5 linked regions of the Xenopus tropicalis genome follow. The protein of the gene in region 1 purifies or fractionates together with the protein of each later gene. This does not show direct contact. Links are inferred from orthologs where the notes say so. Each region holds a gene or a part of one and is shown on either strand. Other genes may lie near its edges.

Region 1 (4,410 bases):
GACCCCACGTTTCCAACAAACTAAGCAGTAATTAAGCACTGACGTATATTCAATGGTTGCTAAGAAATTAATGGTCGGTTACCATCCAATGAACATTTTTTTCGTTTTTGGGCACATTCCATAACAGGCAGATTTCCAGCAACAATTATATTCCCTGTATGCCCTACGCTATAGAATTAATTTTATTTTACTATTCTGTATTGAATAGTAAATAAATATAAACAATAAAGTCTAATGAACACCCCCAAGCTATTTTAGTATTAAAGTGTTGGAACCCCATTATCCTAGCCAACTCCCAGCACCCTTTGCCCTATGAAGGACTCTGGGAGTTAAAGTTGGTCAGAAAGCCCTGATATAGAGTTTTAGTAAGTTATATATATAGATTGTAAGCTCTACGGGGCAGGGATCTCCATCCTCTTGTGTCTTTGTACCTTAACTTATTGCAACTGTATTTATCTGTATTTATTTGTATTTATTGTTATACTTTGTATTTATCTATTATTACCTTAATAGCCCCCTGTTTGTATTAATGTATTCTACTGTACAGCGCTGCGTACATAAGTAGCCAGGGTCGAACCCGACCCTTGCGGTGCTCCCCCTGCCCGACCGCTTCTGCCCCAACGCGTTAAATTAACGCTCTCGGGGAAGGACATCGGGTTGGGGCCCTGCGAGGGGGGTTAGGGGGGCCCCTCGGGGGGGAGGCTATGGGCACGGGCCATATGGGCGGGCTATGGGCGTGGGCACTGGTGGGCCCTTCACCCCCCAGTCCGACCCTGTAAAAAGCGCTTTATAAATAAAGATATACATACATACGTACTGTTGCAGGCTTGGGGGGGTGCAATAAAGTTTCTTTACTTTTGCCTCTGCTTTTCTATGGGGCCCCACAAGGGACATATATTAAGCAAGTGTGGCCCCTGCGGACAGCTGTGGCCCTATAGGAAGGAAAACAGCCCAAGGAAAGGACACATACTGTACATATATATATAGATTGTAAGCTCTACGGGGCAGGGACCTCCATCCTCTTGTGTCTTTGACCCTTATCGCAACTGTATCTTTTATTTATTTATGTTCATTGTAATACTGTGTATTTATCTATTATTTTCTTAATAACCCCCTGTTTGTATTAATGTATTCTACTGTACAGCGCTGCGTACATAAGTAGCACATATACATACATACATACATACTTACAACCTGCAGAATGAGGAGAGCAGAAGCCGTACGACTTATCCACAAGAAGGACTGAAGTATAAAGCAAGTAAAGGGTAAGTAACCCTAATAAATCAGTATATGCAGCAGCAGCAGCAGGACATCATTAAAGGAACAGTGGCAGCAGCAGTAACAAAGGCACCCCGGCAGCAGGCTAAATATGGATCAGTTCTTCCATCCCTCCCCCTAAAGGTTATCAGCGACCAGCCAAACCTGCATCTAAAAATTCTCTTTTTAGAATGAAAGAAATCTAGGTGTCTCTCTGCTGCTCCCTAACGTCCGCCGGGGGTATTGCAACTGCTATTTTTATCGGAGCAGCACAGAAAGGAGGAGGAGGAGGAGACGTTGAAGTGAATGAATTACAGTGAGGAAGCTCCTCTCTCCCATTCATGCTGAGTTTCCCCAAAGCAAATGCAGCGCCGGACGGTGATGGGAAGCGCTGCCATATGGCACCCAGCCCCAGCAGGTAGCCCTGAGCCTTACCTTGAACTCCAGGAGCAGCAGGGCAGGCAGGGGGGGTTACCCTCCACCTAAGACGCTTGGGGAGGAGTTGCCACTGCAGTTGCTGAAGGAGACAAGTAGCCCCCACACTCAGTCTGTAGTCATTGCTCCCATGAGCCTCTCTGGGCCACCCTTGGCTCCCAACTCCCTGCAGGCTGGAGAATGTGCCACCCAGTGGGAGTTGGTGACTGCCCCAGGGACTTTGCTGATGGCCTCTCTGGGGAGAAGGAGATAAGAAGGGGTGAGTGTAGGAGAACCCTACCAGAATGACTTACTGAGCCCCATTCCATGGAGAGTTAACATGACTTTTACAGACCTGACCAATGACAGTGTGGGAAACCACACGGAACCCCACATTAGAGGGGATAATGACACTGAGGACCATGCCAACGGGACCTCCCTGAGTCTGGCCTTGGACCTGCCGGCTCTAAGTGTCGGGATCGTCCTGGCTGTCTTCATCCTCTTTGCCATAGTGGGCAACATCATGGTCATCTTGTCGGTGGCTTGCAACAGGCAGCTGCAGACAGTCACCAACTACTTTATCGTCAACCTGGCCATCGCCGACCTTCTGCTCAGCACCACGGTGCTGCCTTTCTCCGCCACCCTGGAGGTGCTGGGCTTCTGGGCGTTCGGAAGGGTCTTCTGCGACATTTGGGCAGCGGTGGATGTCCTCTGCTGCACTGCGTCCATCATGAGCCTCTGCGTCATTTCTATAGACAGGTATGTCGGGGTGAAGTACTCGCTGAAGTACCCCACCATCATGACCGAGAAGAAAGCTGTGGTCATCCTCATCCTGCTCTGGTTGTCTTCTATGGTCATCTCCATCGGACCTCTCCTGGGCTGGAAGGAGCCTCCACCTCCAGATGACAGCAAGTGTAGCATCACAGAGGAGCCGGGATACGCTCTCTTCTCTTCCCTCTTCTCCTTCTACCTGCCCCTCTTGGTCATCCTTGTCATGTACTTCAGAGTCTACATAGTGGCCAGGAGGACTACCAAGAGCCTGGAGGCTGGGGTGAAGAAGGAAAGGAACAAGTCCATGGAGGTGGTGCTCAGGATCCACTGTAGAAGTGTCCTAGAGGAGTCCAGCTCCAGTACCAGGAACCACAAGGGTCATACCTTCAGGAGCTCCCTGTCCGTCAGACTCCTCAAATTCTCCAGGGAGAAGAAGGCCGCCAAGACCTTGGCCATCGTGGTTGGGGTGTTCATCCTCTGCTGGCTCCCCTTCTTCCTTATCCTACCGCTGGGTAAGTCCCAAGTGCCTCCTTCATGTTAAACTTTGTCTCTTCCCCCCCGACCCTTCCCGACCCATTCCGACTCACTGGTGTTCATCCTCTGCTGGCTCCCCTTCTTCCTTATCCTACCGCTGGGTAAGTCCCAAGTGCCGACTTAATGTTTAACTTTGTCTCTTCCCCCTCCGACCCTTCCCGACCCATTCCGACTCACTGATAGCCTAATGCAGCGCGATTTCTGTTGGGAAAGTTCTCACCTTTAGCGATCGCGATGTGGTTTTTCTGGTCGTTTAGCAGAGTTACGACAGGCAGAAAACGACGACCCAAGGGCTCAGGGGTAAATACCCCCCTCCCTTACATTGTTGGAATTCTAAAAAACGTCTCAAGGGGGTTACAGGTTTAAAGGTATATGGCAGCACTTTGAACGTCAATAGTATTGCAGATTTTCAGCGTCACTAGGCAAAGTGTCCTTAGCAACAAGATATCATTTTCAAATTCCATGTTGGAACCCCCCCTATCAGTTAAAACGTTGATCAAATTACTTTAATACCAATTTTGGGGTCACCCAAATAAGAGAATGTCTGGGGTGCACTGGGGGTCCCCAAAAACACCTGTTTCTCATAGCTGAACTACATTAGTCTTGTAGATTGTAAGCTCTTTTGGGCAGGGCTCTCTTCCCCTCCTGTATCGGTTATTGATTGCTTTATATGTTACTCTGTATGCCCAATGTATGGAACCCACTTATTGTACAGCGCTGCGGGGTATGTTGGCGCTTTATAAATAAATAATAATAATAAGTCTACAAGTTATATCAGGATCTACCTCCGCTCATGTTTCTGGCAGGTATTTCCCTGATCGTTCAGTTTACTGCCCCTGGAAATATTTAGCACCATTCCATAGGGGCAGACTGGGGAGAGCGGGGCTGTTGCCAAGGTGTTGCCGGGGGCATGGGGGTGGCAGATACACAGTAAATTCCTGGGCTGGATCTGCCCCATCCCTTGGGAGAATTATCAAAGCCTGAGAGTCCCTAGTAGGGGTAATTGATTTGTTTGGGTTGGAGGGGTGGAAGGGAACACAAACAAGCCTGACTGGGGGCAGAATTGCAGAGAGGGCAGGACGCTGCTTGTCTTGTTTATTCAAAATAAAGGTCAACTGACCCAAACACTAACACTGCCCTTTCCTTGTGTAAACAGCAGAGATGCTCGGGATCAGCTGACGAAGTGCAGAGCGGCCGTTAGAATTCCCATTACACTCAGGGAGAGATTGGCTTAATTACACTGTACTTGGCAGGGCCCTACAGGGGGGTACAGGGGGGATTATGGGGGGGGGGGGGGGGTTACTAGGCACAACCAGGCAGCAAAGTGAGGATGGCCAGACTACATAATTGTAATAATAATAATATAAGTCTATATTGTAAGTGAATGAAAGAGTAGTGGATACACTGATCCTACTCCCAGACAATTGCCGGCAC
Region 2 (4,323 bases), on another chromosome or scaffold:
TGGAGGGGAAACTTTTAGTGGGGAGGCAAGTGAGAGAGGGTCACGCGTATGTGGCAGCGACGTGGCCTTGTTTTCAGATGAGGAGCCGGCCAACATTCCTCAGCAGCAGGTCACAACCCAGGCCAGAAGCAGCACAGCTAATGTGGCCCCCCAGGAACCTGAGAAAGATAGGTTCCACAAATCTCTAATAAGGCATAATAAAAATTTAATGAAAAAGTTGGACACATTGCATGTCGACTTGTGTGTGGCCACTAACACCTACAAATGCCAGTCAGGCACGCCAAGCTGCACACAAGGCTGCCATGTTAAGCCTCCAACAGGCGAGTCACGCACACCAATAATAAAAAATAATTTCCCGGTAAATAAAACCTTTTTTTTTTTTTGGAGAAGTTGTTTGTTATTTCTTGTTTAGGGGATTAAAGATTGTTGGTACTTACAGGAAAAGCAATTGGTAACAATTTGTCCCCGGACACATTTGGGATGCCACTTAACCCATAAAACTGCCTTTTCACAGCATTCCACTTGTTCCGATTTTTGGGGGACAAGATGAAATTCCAAGACACCGAGCGTATGGCGTCCAGGACCTGACCAAGGCACCGTGAAAAAGGTGGGCTGTGACACCCCCCGTAAACCCACCAACCCTCTGGAAACTGTCAGTGGCCAAAAAGTGCAGGGAGCACAGCAGTTTCACCATTCCGGGAACTGCATGGCTTCTGCGAGTCAGTGGCTGCAGGGAAGGCTCAAGCAGCTCATACAGGCTGGATATTGCCACCCTATTGAGCCTGTAGTGCCTGACCACTTCATCCTCGTTTAAGCCCTCCAAAGTTGTCCTTTCCCGACAAATCACTCTGGAAGGCTCGGGGACTTGATGTTCCTCCTCCAAATAGAGCAAAAACCCCATTGCAAACTCCATCTTGCCTTTTTCCAACAAAAAATTAAAAATGTGGTCTGCACAACGCCTCCCCCAATTAGGTGCTAAAATACGCACACACTTGCACGCTAATTAATGCATTTAACACTTCATGCGCTTTTGTGAATCATGCGTTTTCTTTTCATTCGCTAATTAACGTAATGCGTTAAAATTAACGCATTCGGTTGCACGTTATTTAACGCACACGATATGCGACTTAACGCATGCGATAATACTTTAGCGAATCGCACGTTTTTTTCGCGTTTATTTTAACACAAAAAAGCATGCAATAACGCATATCGCTCATCGCTCCTTAGTGAATCAACCCTAATGTGTTTTATTGACTTGTATGTTAATGAGGAAATATTAGGCATATTATAATGATTGGTTAGGCTAGGAGATAAAAGGAATAGCCTTAAGTTATCGTATTAATGTTTTTTGTTTTCTTTAAAGCTCATTATCAGAAACATCATTACATCAGTGTTGTGACGCAGCATCAGTACAGCACTATATTCCTCATCCATTTGAAAGACCTTCTGGTTAAAAACCTATAACACAGCAGACATTAGAGGGTGCCCTCTATAGCAGGCCAGACAGTATCCTCAGCACTAGGGATAATGTAGGCTTGTGGGGCAGAGCTGGCAACACTTTATAGACAAATAAAAACAGTAAATTGACTCCAGTTAAAACCTGCATATTATTGGATAATGAACATGCTTGTTTCTTATTGGTTCAGGAATTTGATTGACAGTGTTGTTTTACAGAATGGATATTTTATCAGTTTTGTGGAATCATGTATTCATTTTGTTGATAGAATGAGTTCTGTGCTATATAATCTTGCTTTCTGTCACACGCATCTATTTTGTCATGAAAATCTAGCTGGAATATGCTATTCAGTTACACCATTATATATTTTGTCGAAATTTTGTTTTACATTATTCATTCTGTAAGTAACTTTACACATTTTTTTGTATGGATGTTATGCATTTGTGAGACAGAATGCTTTTTAAAATTTACAGAATGAAGTTTGTAATATAATATCCTTTTGTGCATAAAATTGTTTTTGATCTCATTCTTCACTAGAAATATATATCTTTGGTATATTTTTACCAGTGTTTATATCCACACTTTAATTCTGTCTACTGGGGATTGCTTTTTGTATATAGAATGTATTTTTATAGACAAAATGTACTTAGACAAACGGCACCCCATAAGTTTCAACTCCTCAGCAAAGGTTTAAGATCTCATTTATAGTGTCAGTGTTGTAGCTATATTTGATGATCTATTAAATCATGAGTGTGAACGGGGTGGCTATTGCACTGGGATTTTCCTGTAATGCTACCCAGTTACTGAATAGATCCAGATTGGGTGGCATGGTGATTAGACCACTTACTTATTTATTAGTAATACTGTAGAGGTGTTAGATTAAGACTGTTATATTGAGTGTAATGTTCATCACCAAAGACTACGCTTGTGGCATTCTAATAAAGGTTGTATGCAGATCGCTTGAGGTAATAATCAAAGTCTGGGAATGTGATACTGTAAATCTGTCAACTGAGAGAGGTATTGTGTTTATAGAGGGAGAAATGAAGCTCTTACTAAAACCTTAACACTTATTTACCAAACAAGTAAGTATATGGAGGCTTTTGTTTTGGGTAGCCCAAATTATTGGAACAAGATATACATATTTACAGTATCACTTGTCCAGGCTTTGATTACTGCAAGTGATATGCACTTAAGAGAATAATATATAATAGTTTTTATTCCATTAAAATAGCCTTTGAAATGGTGGTTAGAATACATTAACATTGTATTGCTTTATTTTCCAGTGCAAAACAGGTAATGGATGTTTCCAAAGTTCTCCATCTTGGAGGGAAAACTGTCTTCAAAATATTACAAATGAAGACAGCATGGAGGGCAGAACTGTAGAAGCATTTGGAGTTAAATCATTGGAACACCATGTGGCTAATCTGACATTTCTAGAGAGCAAGTAGCCATTTCTATTTTAACAGAAGTGTAAATGAAAAGGATAGTGGAAGCAAAGCATCATTATACTGTAAAGGGCAAGAGCCAGACTAAGGATGTGAACATCAGCATTTTTTTTCCTTCTTCTTTTGTTATTGGTACCACAATCAGTCATTAAGAATTGTTTGTGTTCCGTTCAGCTCATTACTGCCGTTATATGGATATCATTATTTGTTAAAAATGTCTTAATGAAAACCTTAACCCAAAGATGCTGCTATTGTTTGTATAATTGTGATATGCAGAAACAAACTTTATGAAATTGCTGTTACACAAGTTGCTGTCACCATTTCCAATACTTACTGGTTGGTTTTTTCAAGTGTAATGTATCTGTTTACCTGTATCAGGACAATACGTCATGGTCTAAAAGCACTGGTTGCCCACTCCCTTACAGGCAAGTGCCACTTCTATATGCACAACACAGCACACTCCATTCACAACTTGTTCTGCTGCCACCTGTCATTCATTTTAGAGTTTGCTGCTGGAATCTTTACATTCATTGAAGCAGAGAACTATTTTTGGTTACATATAAAAAAGCTTGTGGATCCCTTGTGAGGTTTTTGCTGCGGGGAGATGAAGATGAGGATGATGATTAAATTGTCAATCTCTTGTGAAGCTCTTCCTACTTTCAGATATGCTGGTCTCAAGATTATTTTACTTTTCTTTGTAAGAGTTGAGATGCATGTAAAGAATCAAAACACTCAAATGTATCTTTTCCTCAGAATGTAAACCATATTTAAGTTTCATGAAAATGTAGTTTTTTACATTAACATTTACAATGTAAGATTCTATTTTTAAAATAAAATTCTAATGAATCTTTTGTGTGGTCAAGTTAGATTTCATTTAAATACTCAATACAAACAATGTGAATTTAGCATTTTCTTACTAACATTGCAGCATTATTTCTCAGAATTCATGTGTAATCCCACATGCCCACAAAATAGCATGCCATGCAATGTTTTCCCAAGATGATGCTTTGGTAAAATGCACACAAGTTACATCATTTGCTAGCATCGTCGAATACGATTTGTTATTTCCCTGTAAGCCAATAATGTATGTGGGTATAGGCGTGGGTCAGCTAGTCTCCTATATAGCAAGTTTTACTCCTTTAAACCTTTTTATCCCGCCTACTTCTGAAGATATCACTTCCTGTTTCATTATGTCCAAAAGGTAAAAATGTGGGGTGCGGGTTACAAAAATTGGAGCCAAGTTAATGGCTCAATTTTTTTAGGTGCATGTGTAGGTACAACACACAAAAGGAGGCCTATCAGTAATACCTTCTCAAGCTAGATGTTATTTTCACATCTTGGCTTAAAGAAATATATGAAAGGATTGCTGTAGCCACCATTCAGCCATAGTTATCCTATAAATGACCTTCAAGTTCAGTTTAA
Region 3 (3,713 bases), on another chromosome or scaffold:
AGAGGTTCCACTTTGGTGTAAATTCCATATGTAAAAGTTTTGGTGCATGTAGTTATAAATGTACATAAACTAGAATTAACTTTGCACAAAGCAATCAACAGTGTAAAAGCATAGCTTGTATTTCTGTGCCACTTATTGCTCCACTTTAAAATGATCCCTCTAAAATTCAGTCTGTTGGTGTTAAGGGAGAGAAGACCATTTGTCCTGATTTCCCAGGGTTCCTGGGGTCCAGACTGTAGATAAACGTACCAGGAACGCTTGTTGGTCGGCTGCCAGCCCAGTCCCCAATCCCCTGTGTAAATACCTTGAGTGATCCAGTCAAGATAAATTTTTCTCCTTGTGTGGCAAACTGGAGAGGTATCACATGATGCTTTTTCACTTAACTCTGGATCAGTTAGGCTGGTTTAATTTACACCAAAACGTGAAATGGATGCATGTCTTGAAACTGAAACTTGTATTTTTTAAAATCGTTTAAAAAAGTTGTTGTCATCAAGCTGCAACTCTAACAATCCATCAGGTTTGGGTGTTAGAAGGGGGTGCTTGGGAGATATAGTTTAACAGCATTCTTCTCCACTCGGATCATTTTCCCTAGTTTTACATTGCCCCTTTTCATCTAACTCTGACCCATAACGTAAGCTAATCTGATATAAGAGCAAAACATTGACAGTCTAAATATTACAGTTTTTTTTAACTATCTTTGCTTATATTAACTGATATTCACATATATTTTCTCTTCTTCTCCAGGTGCAAGGAGAAATTTACGTAATGATTTACTTGTAGCAGCTGATTCCATTACCAATACTATGTCTTCTCTGGTTAAAGAGCTGAAGTCAGGTGAGTGTCTAGCGCTAAACACAGTGAGGTCAGTATACACCCATATACAGCACTGCTCAACATGACCACAGTGAATAGAACTTGTGTTGAAAATGTGTTCTTTTGTTTTTTCCTGAACAACCTCTCCCCGCATTTCCGCCTCGCAATAGGTTAATTAAAAAGCGATATTAAGCTCTGCATAAACAAACCCATCCTTTACCCAAACTGATGCGAGGAGCAGCTCATTAACCAATTGGCTTATCTTTGGATTGGTAGCTGGTAGCCAGGAAGCTGGAAAGTGAAAGTTGGCTTCAAATTCAATCTTTGACATGTTTTGTGAAAGAAATATAAAAACCAAAGATATTTCTGTAATTAATATGAAATAGTGTGTTCAGCCGTCTTATTCATTGAGTTTATACTCAAAAAGATGATAGACTGACCCTTTAAGTGATGTTCTTCAAAGAAGGCTTCTATGAATAAGGTCACTTTGAAGGAGGCTTCAAAGAATTCACAGTAACAATAAAAAACAATAAAAAACACTGGCACTTCTGGCAAGTAACATGTCATGTAAACACAAGCTATTTCAGTTATTTACAGTTACAGTTATATCTAGATACTCTGAACTATCTGTCTGAACCACAGTTACCTGGTGATTAGCTCTGCAAAGTTTGGGGACCTTAGTATTAATATATAAAGAATGGCAGCAGTTTAAATTTAAACATATGAAGTCTATAGGTGAAATCTGATTGGCTGTTGGCCCCGCCCACTTTTCTAAACTTGGAACATAGTCACCCAGTGACAAACTGGGCAAAGTTTTGGGACCCTGACATTAAACACGTGAGAATGGCAGCAGTTAAAATTATCCCATTGAAAACAATGAAAGAAATGTGATTGGCTTTTGGCAGCCCCACCCACTTTTTCTAACATTGAGTATGTAGTCACCCAGTGACTGACTGTGCAAAGTTTGGGGATCCTGGCATCAAACCAGTAGACTTAAATAGGTGAAATCTGATTGGTTGTTGGTGGCTCCGCCCACTTTTCCATACTAAACCTTCGGTCCCCTAGTGACCAACTGTGAAAAGTTTGGGGACCCTGGTGTTAATTCTGTCAGAATGGCAGCAGGTTGAATATCCCCATTGAAAGTCAATAGGTAAAATCTGATTTGCTATTGGTGGCTCCGCCCGCTTTTTCTAACCTTGAACCACAGTTACCTGGTGCCTAACCCTGCAAAGTTTGGGGACCCTGGTGTTATTACTGTGAGAATGGCAGCACCCCTAAAACTGTAGGAGGAGTGGCGTTTAGAAAATGGGGGGCGCTAAGAATAAGAAGAAGAAAAAGAGGAAGAATCAGCTGAAGTTGGGGGTTTTCAGCCCAACATAATGATTCAGTTGGAATAAGCTTGCAGTTCTATTTTGTAATATAGCATGTGAAGGGAGCAGGTAGAGGCTTTTATAGACTGAATCATTTGATGAGCTTTCTGCTTCAGAGATATGGATACCCTTAACGTTTTAGTGATCAAAGTTGTGTCACTTGCAGACTCCCCAGGACACATACTGTAAATTAAACCAAATTCAAATTATTTTATGATTAGCAAAATAACTGAGAAGAGCATTCATGGTAAATATTGGCCTATTCAGGTAAAACAAATAGGTATATATTATAGCAGCCTTACTATAGCTACAATATGGGCTGTACATTAGCATGAACAAATTCTGACATTATTAAAGCCTTAACTTGCACTTCTGATTCATCCTGAATGAGGCTTGACATTTAGCATTTCCTTCTGCTTTACTGATTGCTGTTTGTACGTCACATACGGATAAATTAAGAACTTATCCTGCCAGGTGGGTGTTAACACAAGCTATTCAGCATCTAATGCTCTGTATGTGGGTGTTATTTTATCCAGAGAGCACTGAGTCGTTTATTAATACTAGTTATTTGCAAATACCTATGTTTACATTTGTCCAATAAGTCACAAGAAACTTTTGCACTTTATAAAGTGCAAAAGTCTCCTTTGGCATCACCTGTAAGTGTGGATCAGTGAATTTTCTGTATGTGGTTTGAGAGGGAAGGTAAACACCAGATAAACACCAGATATTTCTTTTGTAGATGTTGGAAATGAAACAGAGTGTGGTGTGGATACCGAATATGGCCGTGTTCATTTTGATGATTTGGTTCCTTCCCCAACCTCAGAGAAGGCATTCCTTGCCCAGATCCATGCACGAAAACCAGGGTTTAATCATCATTCTGCTGCTACTGGCAACATTCGCACTGACTTGTATGTATTTGTTTCAATGCATTACAACAATGACATGTTTCTTGCTAACAATACAGAGCCTTGGGCTTTCCTTTATGAAGACTGTAGAACATTCATAAGGGCAAAATTTGGAACTTTCCACAACCTAAAAAAAATGTTTTTATTAGAACTGCACTTGTGTCCTATGAGCTGCTGATGGTAAGAATACTGACCAGGAGTTCTCCACTAATTATCTACATCTAAAGACACCAGAGTTCCAACATCTCTAACCAAGAAAAATGCCTTGTTCCATGACAGGACCAAAATTCAATACTTGGTTTAATACTTGGACCTAAATGCAATACTTGGTTCAGTACATCTGGATTCCTATACACATGTATTCCATAAAAGGCAACGTTTGCCCAGTAGCAGTAATCCATGGCAACCAATAAGATGTTTGCTTTTAAATAGGTGACCAGAAAATTGTACTTGCTTATTGGTTACTATAGGTTACTGCCCCAGGGCAAACCTTTATTACAAAACCTCTTTTAGCTCTAAAAGTAGCCAAATGACAAGAGCAAATTCCCTTCTGTTTAAACTCAGTGAATACTGGGTGTCCTTTATATAAGCCCAGTTGTACTGCTTTATGTTCCAAAATCCCCAT
Region 4 (3,713 bases), on another chromosome or scaffold:
CAGCTATGTGATATTATTTATGATGATATTCCGTAGTATTTCTGTAACTATGGTGACACCTACTATATTGCTAGGTAACCCAGCGTGGTGAATCTGGAAATTAAAATAGAAAACAAATAATATGCAAAGAACATACATTCATACCATGCAGATGCTTGTTGCAGCATCCATTCATATGTAGTGTATAGGTAAAAGGACAGCATATTATTTTTATTGTGTAAAGCAGATTCTGGGAAGTAAACTACCACCCTTAAAGGGGTGGTTCACCTTTAGGTTAACTTTTAGTATGTTATAGAATGGCCCATGCTTAGCAACTTTTCCAATGGTCTTCATTTTTTGTAATAGTTTTTTAATTATTTGCCTTCCTCTTCTACAACATTCCCACTTTCAAATGGGGGTCACTGACTATTGTTCTTTGAAGCTACAATTTTATTTTTGTTGCTACTATTTATTACTTATCTTTCTATTTAGGCCCTCCTCTATTCATATTCCTCTTTCAAACCACTGCCTAGTTGCTAGGTCAAATTGGACACTAGCAATCAGATACTTTGTTTAATGCTTAAAAAACAGGGCATGTCACCAAAATCTTATTTTGGGTAGGTATAATTAGCCCCTATGTCTTTTAGAAAATTCCTGTCGATAAGGAACCAAACTCAGCATGGAGTTATAGGCCTGTTAGCCAAGTATATCCATATACCTACTGAGACAGGCTGATCTGCCATCTTACTGTGCCTGGTTGTATCTCTAAAAGAAGCCTTGGTCTGGATTATTTTTTATATATAATATAAATATATTAATAAATGCCAAAAAAAAAATAAAATATATATATATATATATATATATATGTAATATATATATATATATATATATATATATGTATATATTTTATATTATGTATGTATGTGTGTGTATGTGTATATATATATGTATAACATTATATGTATGTATAATATTTATGTGGTTTATTTTCTATATCTCTACTTACTAAGTTTTATAATGAAGGGTAGTTGAAGCATAGCAGAGCGGAAGACAATATTTCATGTTTGCTAAGTGCAGACTGGAAAATCATTGCAAATAAAATACATTGAGCTGGGAAGGTTAATATCAAGCCATTTTTGCTATACCAGAAGCTTGGGAGAAAATGTGTTGTTTTCTGTAGCTGTGGGCACAGTGCATCTGCTGATACCTGTAGGAATTAGAATGGATTTCAAGGTGATTGCTTCTTTATTTGTGTTTTGTTTTACATTACATTTCAGCCTGAATCAGAGTCCAGGGTTAATGGAGTCTCTATATCTGTCTCGCCACAGCCGCCTGCCCCCAGATATTCAGCTGATCATGATTATAGCTCTCAGTTTCAACAGACAGGTAAGTAGCTTGTGTCCAATAAACAGTGATTTAGCTCAAAAGCACCCCAGTTAACAGCAAAGGAATAAGAAAATACAGGGGCATTAAAATAATGCTTCATTAAAGGGACACTAAACACTGATACACTGCTGTTCTCACACTTTACTCAGTTGTTGGTTAACTACAAATCCCAGCATATTATCAAGGCTACGGTCTGCTGAGAGGTGTACTCCAGCAATATCAGAGCTGTATTCTTATAATGCTGTTGCTTAATAAATATTGCAAAATAATCCTCCATTGTGAATCCCAAGTGATCAGTTTAAATATGGCATTCTTTGTTCCTGCAAGTGGAGTTGGAAGAATTCAGCATTTTTTTCTAGCATTGTCTGATTCCAGTGTAATGTAATGAAGCCAAAAATGTCCCAATTATCTCCATATGTAAGATAACAGCAAGATGACTGACAAAACGTATATAATCGGTTTTCATTGGTGAATTCTCTTTCATGCAGTTTTTTGTTAAATTTGTAAAATTCTTTTTGATAATTTGTTTTTCATCTATAATTATATTTTTTGTCAACTTCTACGGAGAACTGGGGGGCACAAAGGGACAGCTATATTTATATCAGATAATTAGACACACGTGCACCATGTTTTTGTCTTTTTTTGTTGTTTTTGTCCCTTTTTGTCCAAGGGAAACTTGCCAAACAACCTGCCCAAATGCGAGTTAGTACAAGAAAGGCAAAAAAAACCACCTGAAACCTCTCCTATTTGCTTGGGGTTGGGGGACCTGGGTCAGCTTTGAATGGATCCATTTCAGTAACCTTGTATTTTTTTTGTGCCAAAGCCTAACAAACCTGTACCCTAGCTGCTGAAGTGAACTGCAGCTCCCTGTAGTTTTTTTCTAGACCTTGTTCAATCCAAGGTTGTGTATCACTGATCTATTCTAGTTATTTTGTGTTTGTTTCACTTATTAATGTTGCTTTGCATGTGCCCCACAGTTGATGTATTGCACCCTCCGCACAGCGCCGCCACAGACCTAACAGATGTGATGGAACAATTCAACAGCACATTTCCCCTGAGCAGCTGTAAGTAAATCCCACTTTATACATTTGCTTCAACAGGTATGTTGGGAGATATATTTCAACACTAGTTCTTATGGACAGCAATTTGACATCCTCTTTATATTAGTGAGACTTTAATAGCATGTTATGCCCTTTTTTGTGTGTTTTCCACTTGTTTTTATAATGTTGAAAGTATTTCTATTTATTTAAAGCATTGCAACATTGGAGCATGTTTAGACCCACTCTAGGACTGTGGTTCCCAAATTGTAGTAGCAGTTAGGGAGATATTTGGAGAAAATGGCTGTTTTCTTTGCTAGATATAGCTGAAAACTCAGCTTAATGGTCAGTGAAAATTTGCTTGATGTTTTAGATTTTCTTGGAACTGTGGCTGAATGAATGGTAAACCAAAGTTTTTAAATATCTGTGATCTTATTATGAGCTAAATGGTGGGCCTTGAACTAAAAAAAAAAGGTCTGGCAACCATAGCCGTAGGCGAAGGTAGAGAATGTGTAATGATTAAAGGTTGATCGCTTAAACGATTAATGTGCAGTTGGGGTAATTACAGTATATTGTTATTGTTAATAAATCAGTTATATATGTCATTAGAAGGATAAACACAAGAGTCCTTATAAAGGGTGCTTAGTGATGTCATCAGCTCTTATTGGTGCTAAGCGATGTAATTCCTGTCACAGACTCATTGAAACGTGTGTATTATTATAAATAATGTTCTCCCTGTTGAAAAATAAGAGAATATTATAAGTTGCCTCGGCCTTCAGCCTCATGCTTTATAAAATCGTGGAACTCCTCAGTGACTTATTATATCCCTATATTTTACAATAGGGTTTTTTTATTCACTTTATATTTACTTTTTAATAACTTGTTACTTGTAACTTGTTTTCAGCTACAATAAAATGTTCTATTTGCCTTTTACTGCTATACCTACAGTTGGTGTGTTTCATACTTAACGCACCTTATAATTCCTTATTTTTTTCCTGTGCTCATTTTGTTCCTTCTTACTCTCGGAAAGTACTTACAAATCAGAATTATTAGCCAGCGGTGAGGCCCTGCCAAAATGCTATCGAAGGCTGCAAATGTCGCTCCCTTCAGCAATGCAAATCCCTATTTTCACCCTCGCACCTTGCCAGCTTTGTCTTACCAGATAACAGGCAGCACAGCAATATTGAAAGGAAGTGTTAAGATTAATTTTAAATAAGCCATGCACGCAGTTGACAGCTGTGACAAAGAAAAATGAAGCCAGGCTCTCGATAACATCATATCCCAGAGTTGAGATGACAAGGATGGGTTTTT
Region 5 (3,713 bases), on another chromosome or scaffold:
CGGTATTTCATTAAAGGACAAATAAACCTTAAATAGAATATTTAGGGGATGGTTTAACATTTACACTATTTTTTAAAATGTAATTTTTTTTTCTAATGCAGAATATAATAAATATAATACTAGAAAGGTACATTTCCTGAAGAAAATGTGAGTGGTGCTTGCCGTGGCAAAACTCGTGCCCCAATATTACAATGTTTCCTTCAGTTTTGTTAATTGCCCCCTGCTTGGGCAATTATCCTCCCACCCCCATAGAAAAGTCATTGCACCCCATTCCCGAATAAGCCGCACGGTTTGACACCTCATTCATTTGTCTATGACAAACGGTGGTTAATTGCCCCCTGCTGGGGCAATTAACATCCCACCCCTCACAAAAGTCATAGCACCCCATTCCCGAATAAACCGCACGGTTTGACAACTCATTCATGCGTCTACGACAAATGGTGCGGGAGTCAAAGTTGCTCTCAATGTTAAGTCTATGGGCGGGTAATTGCCCCCTGCTGGGGCAATTAACCGCCCACCCCTCAGAAAAGTTATAGCACCCCATTCCCGAATAAGCCGCATGGTTTGACACCTCATTCATGGGTCTACGACAAACGGTGCGGGACTCAGTCAAAGTTGGTCTCAATGTTAAGTCTATGGGCGGATAATTGCCCCCTGCTGAGGCAATTAACCGCCCACCCCTCAGAAAAGTCATAGCACCCCATTCCCGAATAAGCCACACAGTTTGAAACCTCATTCATGGGTCTACGACAAACTAGTTATTTGCCAAAATCCCCATTATAAGTCAATGGGGCAAATCTGGGGACCTCTCTTGCCCCGGGGGTAAAACTTATACCCTTGTGCGGGGTATCTTCTGACACAGGTTGCAAATCTCTTCAAAAAGTCATAGCACCCCATTCCCGAATAAGCCGCATGATTTGACACCTCACTCATGGGTCTACGACAAACGGTGCGGGACTAGTTACGTACCGAACTTTGTACGGAAGAAGAAGAAGAAGAATAAGCCTGTGAGATAATAGTAGTGATGCTTTGGTTCGCAAGCACCACTAATAATAAATAATAATATAATATAATAAAAGTTTGCCCAGGTGTAGTAACCCATAGCAACCAATCAGCAGAATTTGCTAGTCACTTGTTTAAAAGCATACATCGTATTGGTTGCTATAGGTTACTGCTACTGGGTAATCTTAGTGCCTTTTTTTTACATATGCGGGGGTAAAGTCTATTTCACTGGGGGGGGGGGTGCCAAAATATTGGGCAACCCCCCCCCCAATGAAATAGACCACTCCTGTTAGGAGAAAAATGCACCATAATTAAAAAAAAAAAAACAACCACCGCCAAAGATGTGCCTTGTAAATCCAGTGGCTGAGCGGGGCGGGGGTGAGGGGAATCCTTAGCACTGGAGACGTCACTCACACTCATAAAGATCCAGAATGGAAAGGTAAGTATTGCAAAATAAAAGCAATAAAAACAGCCTCACAGTAAAGTTGCCCATACATGGCCCAATAAATGCTGATAAATTGCCCCCTCCAGACTGAGTTGTCAGCTTATTAGCCCATGTAAAGGGCACTTGCAACCAATATCTGTCTGAAAATTAGCCAGATATCTACTGGCCAGGTTGATAGGACTACTGTATGATTTGATAAATGTGCATTTTAGCCCAATATATACTCCTAAGCTGATAAGAGATAACCTTTATTGGGATACATTAAGTGGATAAAGTGACCCCCCTTAATTTATAATGCCAGTGGTACTGGCCTAAAGACTTGCTGCTCTTGTGATTAACAGATTATTTTATAGGGGTATCATTTATACCCCAGGGCCAGAGCTTGGGGTATGCAGAGTAGGCAGCTGCCTCGTGTGCTGCAGATAGGGAGGCACAATTTGAAGAAAAATAACGATACAGCTGCTCCCGTCTGCTACTAATGCGTCATACATTAATTTCTGTAAAGTGAGTGGAAGTAGCCCGCAGCAGGGGCAGCAGTGGGAAGGGGGCTCCAACTGCTGGAAGAGAAGTTGCTGCGGCAGGTGGGTAGGTGGTAGGGAGGGGGAGAGTGGGAACCAGGGCAAGAGCCTTGCCTTGGGTGCAAGTACCTTTTGGCCTGGCACAGTTGTGCCCATTGCAGTATCCCAGGGTCTATCACTACTGATAAGTAAACCTACTAAAAGCAAAAAGCTCAGGGTGCTTTTCTAAGCACTTTAAGTTTTAATTAACTGCTTGTCTTATGAACCTTGTAACTAAAGCACCACTCATTGGTTAGTTTTTCCATCTGTGCAGTCAGAGGGATATTTCAGAAGGTAAACAGAGAACTCTTCTGATGTTGCTCTGCTCAGGAAAGAAATTGGATTAGGTTCATGATCTCTTTCCAGAGCAGAGAAACATCAGATCTGTTTCCTTCTGAAAAACGTAATTTGTCAGCGTAACTTGACAGTGACGTAGATTCTGTCTCTTTAACACTGGCCACAGCTCTATAACATAAATGCACAGTTAGGCACTGAGTGCTGTTACTTGCCTTTTCCGCCAGCCAGCCCAAATGTCCAATATCCGTGCTTCCCGAGATCCCGGTTTTCCCTAATTGTTCTTTAACTTCCGTTATCACCCTGCTGACCAGATCGGAGGCAGCTGAGTGTATAGCATTAAACCAGGCCTGCGCGGTGACTGGGTCAGAACTTCGGAGGACAACCGTGTGCTTTGCGTCAGGTGAATGCAACTCCAGATTTCTGCAAATACAAATAGAAAAAATGAGTAATCCTCCCCCACATCGGATCCTTGCTCCTGCACCAAGACCAAGACCCCTGTACATGCTCCGTTAGTAACACTATGAGGAAGCTTCCTGCTGATTGGCTCAGATCCACATTCCTAAGGGGGGGAGGGAGTTCTTAGCATTCTTGAGGGAGAGGGAGCAGGAGAGGGGAGAGAGCTGCGTGTTTCTGGCACAGGAAAACAAAGATAACAAATCTTTTGACAGAGGACTCAGTGCAGCGTTTCTGTGAATGCTTATGGCTGTATTTACATAGACCTTTCTGATAAAGCTTACTTAGTTGTTACCTTTCCTTCTCCTTTAAAAACCCAGTGGGTGAGCTTTAGTCTATAGATAAACCCATGTAAATGGGATTTTCTAAGAGCTTGTTTGGAATTCATTCCCAGAATTCTGTTTATTTGTATGTGTATGAGGCAGTCTCCTCAACCCTAATGATTTGTTTGTGAATTCACACTAGTTTGTAGAAGAATGATCCACATGTTGACAGTGGCATAACTACTGGAAGAGCAGGCGGCAGTGTGTGGCGGGAAGTCATGTTTGGGGCAGGGGCAAATTAATTATTTCTTTAGTCTTTGGCTGTACCCTGATGCCACCCATTATCTGCCCAATCACCAACCCCCAATCCACCCCAGATCTACTTCATTCCTTCCCTTGGAATTAAGGGTCCAGGCAACTACCCGGATTGCTCTTATGCAAATCTGCCACTGGAAGGTCAGCACTAGGCTTCAAAACAGACCCTGGCATTCCAAGCACACAGAGGCCCAAACAGCCCCCCCAGCCCAATAAATAGTGACTGCCTATGGCATCTTACAGTAGCCCCTCTGGCATTGGCCAGAACCCAGAGATTGCCAGTCTGGGCCTGGGTCCTGGCATTCCAAGTACAAAGAGACCCAAACAGCCCCCCAGCCCAATAAATAGTGAGTGTCTATGGCACCTTACAGCCCCCCTGGC

What was found.
Region 2: the proteins of adra1d (region 1) and ctnnal1 purify together in Homo sapiens (tandem affinity purification; 3 studies listed by IntAct, with this or other methods). This does not show direct contact. The link is inferred for Xenopus tropicalis from reciprocal best matches to the Homo sapiens genes ADRA1D and CTNNAL1.
Region 3: the proteins of adra1d (region 1) and dtna purify together in Homo sapiens (tandem affinity purification; 4 studies listed by BioGRID and IntAct, with this or other methods). This does not show direct contact. The link is inferred for Xenopus tropicalis from reciprocal best matches to the Homo sapiens genes ADRA1D and DTNA.
Region 4: the proteins of adra1d (region 1) and utrn purify together in Homo sapiens (tandem affinity purification; 4 studies listed by BioGRID and IntAct, with this or other methods). This does not show direct contact. The link is inferred for Xenopus tropicalis from reciprocal best matches to the Homo sapiens genes ADRA1D and UTRN.
Region 5: the proteins of adra1d (region 1) and sntb1 purify together in Homo sapiens (tandem affinity purification; 4 studies listed by BioGRID and IntAct, with this or other methods). This does not show direct contact. The link is inferred for Xenopus tropicalis from reciprocal best matches to the Homo sapiens genes ADRA1D and SNTB1.

The regions. Positions count from the first base shown.
Region 1 is NC_030677.2:11,904,297-11,908,706, forward strand, and holds the start of adra1d (alpha-1D adrenergic receptor), read left to right. Parts: upstream 1-1,566; 5' UTR 1,567-2,011; coding exon 2,012-2,954; intron 2,955-2,968; exon of another isoform or gene 2,969-3,077; intron 3,078-4,410. UniProt on the Homo sapiens protein: This alpha-adrenergic receptor mediates its effect through the influx of extracellular calcium.
Region 2 is NC_030682.2:76,846,661-76,850,983, reverse strand, and holds the end of ctnnal1 (alpha-catulin), read left to right. Parts: intron 1-2,739; coding exon 2,740-2,904; 3' UTR 2,905-3,752; downstream 3,753-4,323. UniProt on the Homo sapiens protein: May modulate the Rho pathway signaling by providing a scaffold for the Lbc Rho guanine nucleotide exchange factor (ARHGEF1).
Region 3 is NC_030682.2:112,829,993-112,833,705, forward strand, and holds part of dtna (dystrobrevin alpha), read left to right. Parts: intron 1-744; coding exon 745-834; intron 835-2,922; coding exon 2,923-3,091; intron 3,092-3,713. UniProt on the Homo sapiens protein: May be involved in the formation and stability of synapses as well as being involved in the clustering of nicotinic acetylcholine receptors.
Region 4 is NC_030681.2:45,719,957-45,723,669, forward strand, and holds part of utrn (utrophin), read left to right. Parts: intron 1-1,256; coding exon 1,257-1,365; intron 1,366-2,342; coding exon 2,343-2,429; intron 2,430-3,713.
Region 5 is NC_030682.2:138,634,379-138,638,091, forward strand, and holds part of sntb1 (beta-1-syntrophin), read right to left. Parts: intron 2,722-3,713; coding exon 2,514-2,721; intron 1-2,513. UniProt on the Homo sapiens protein: Adapter protein that binds to and probably organizes the subcellular localization of a variety of membrane proteins. May link various receptors to the actin cytoskeleton and the dystrophin glycoprotein complex.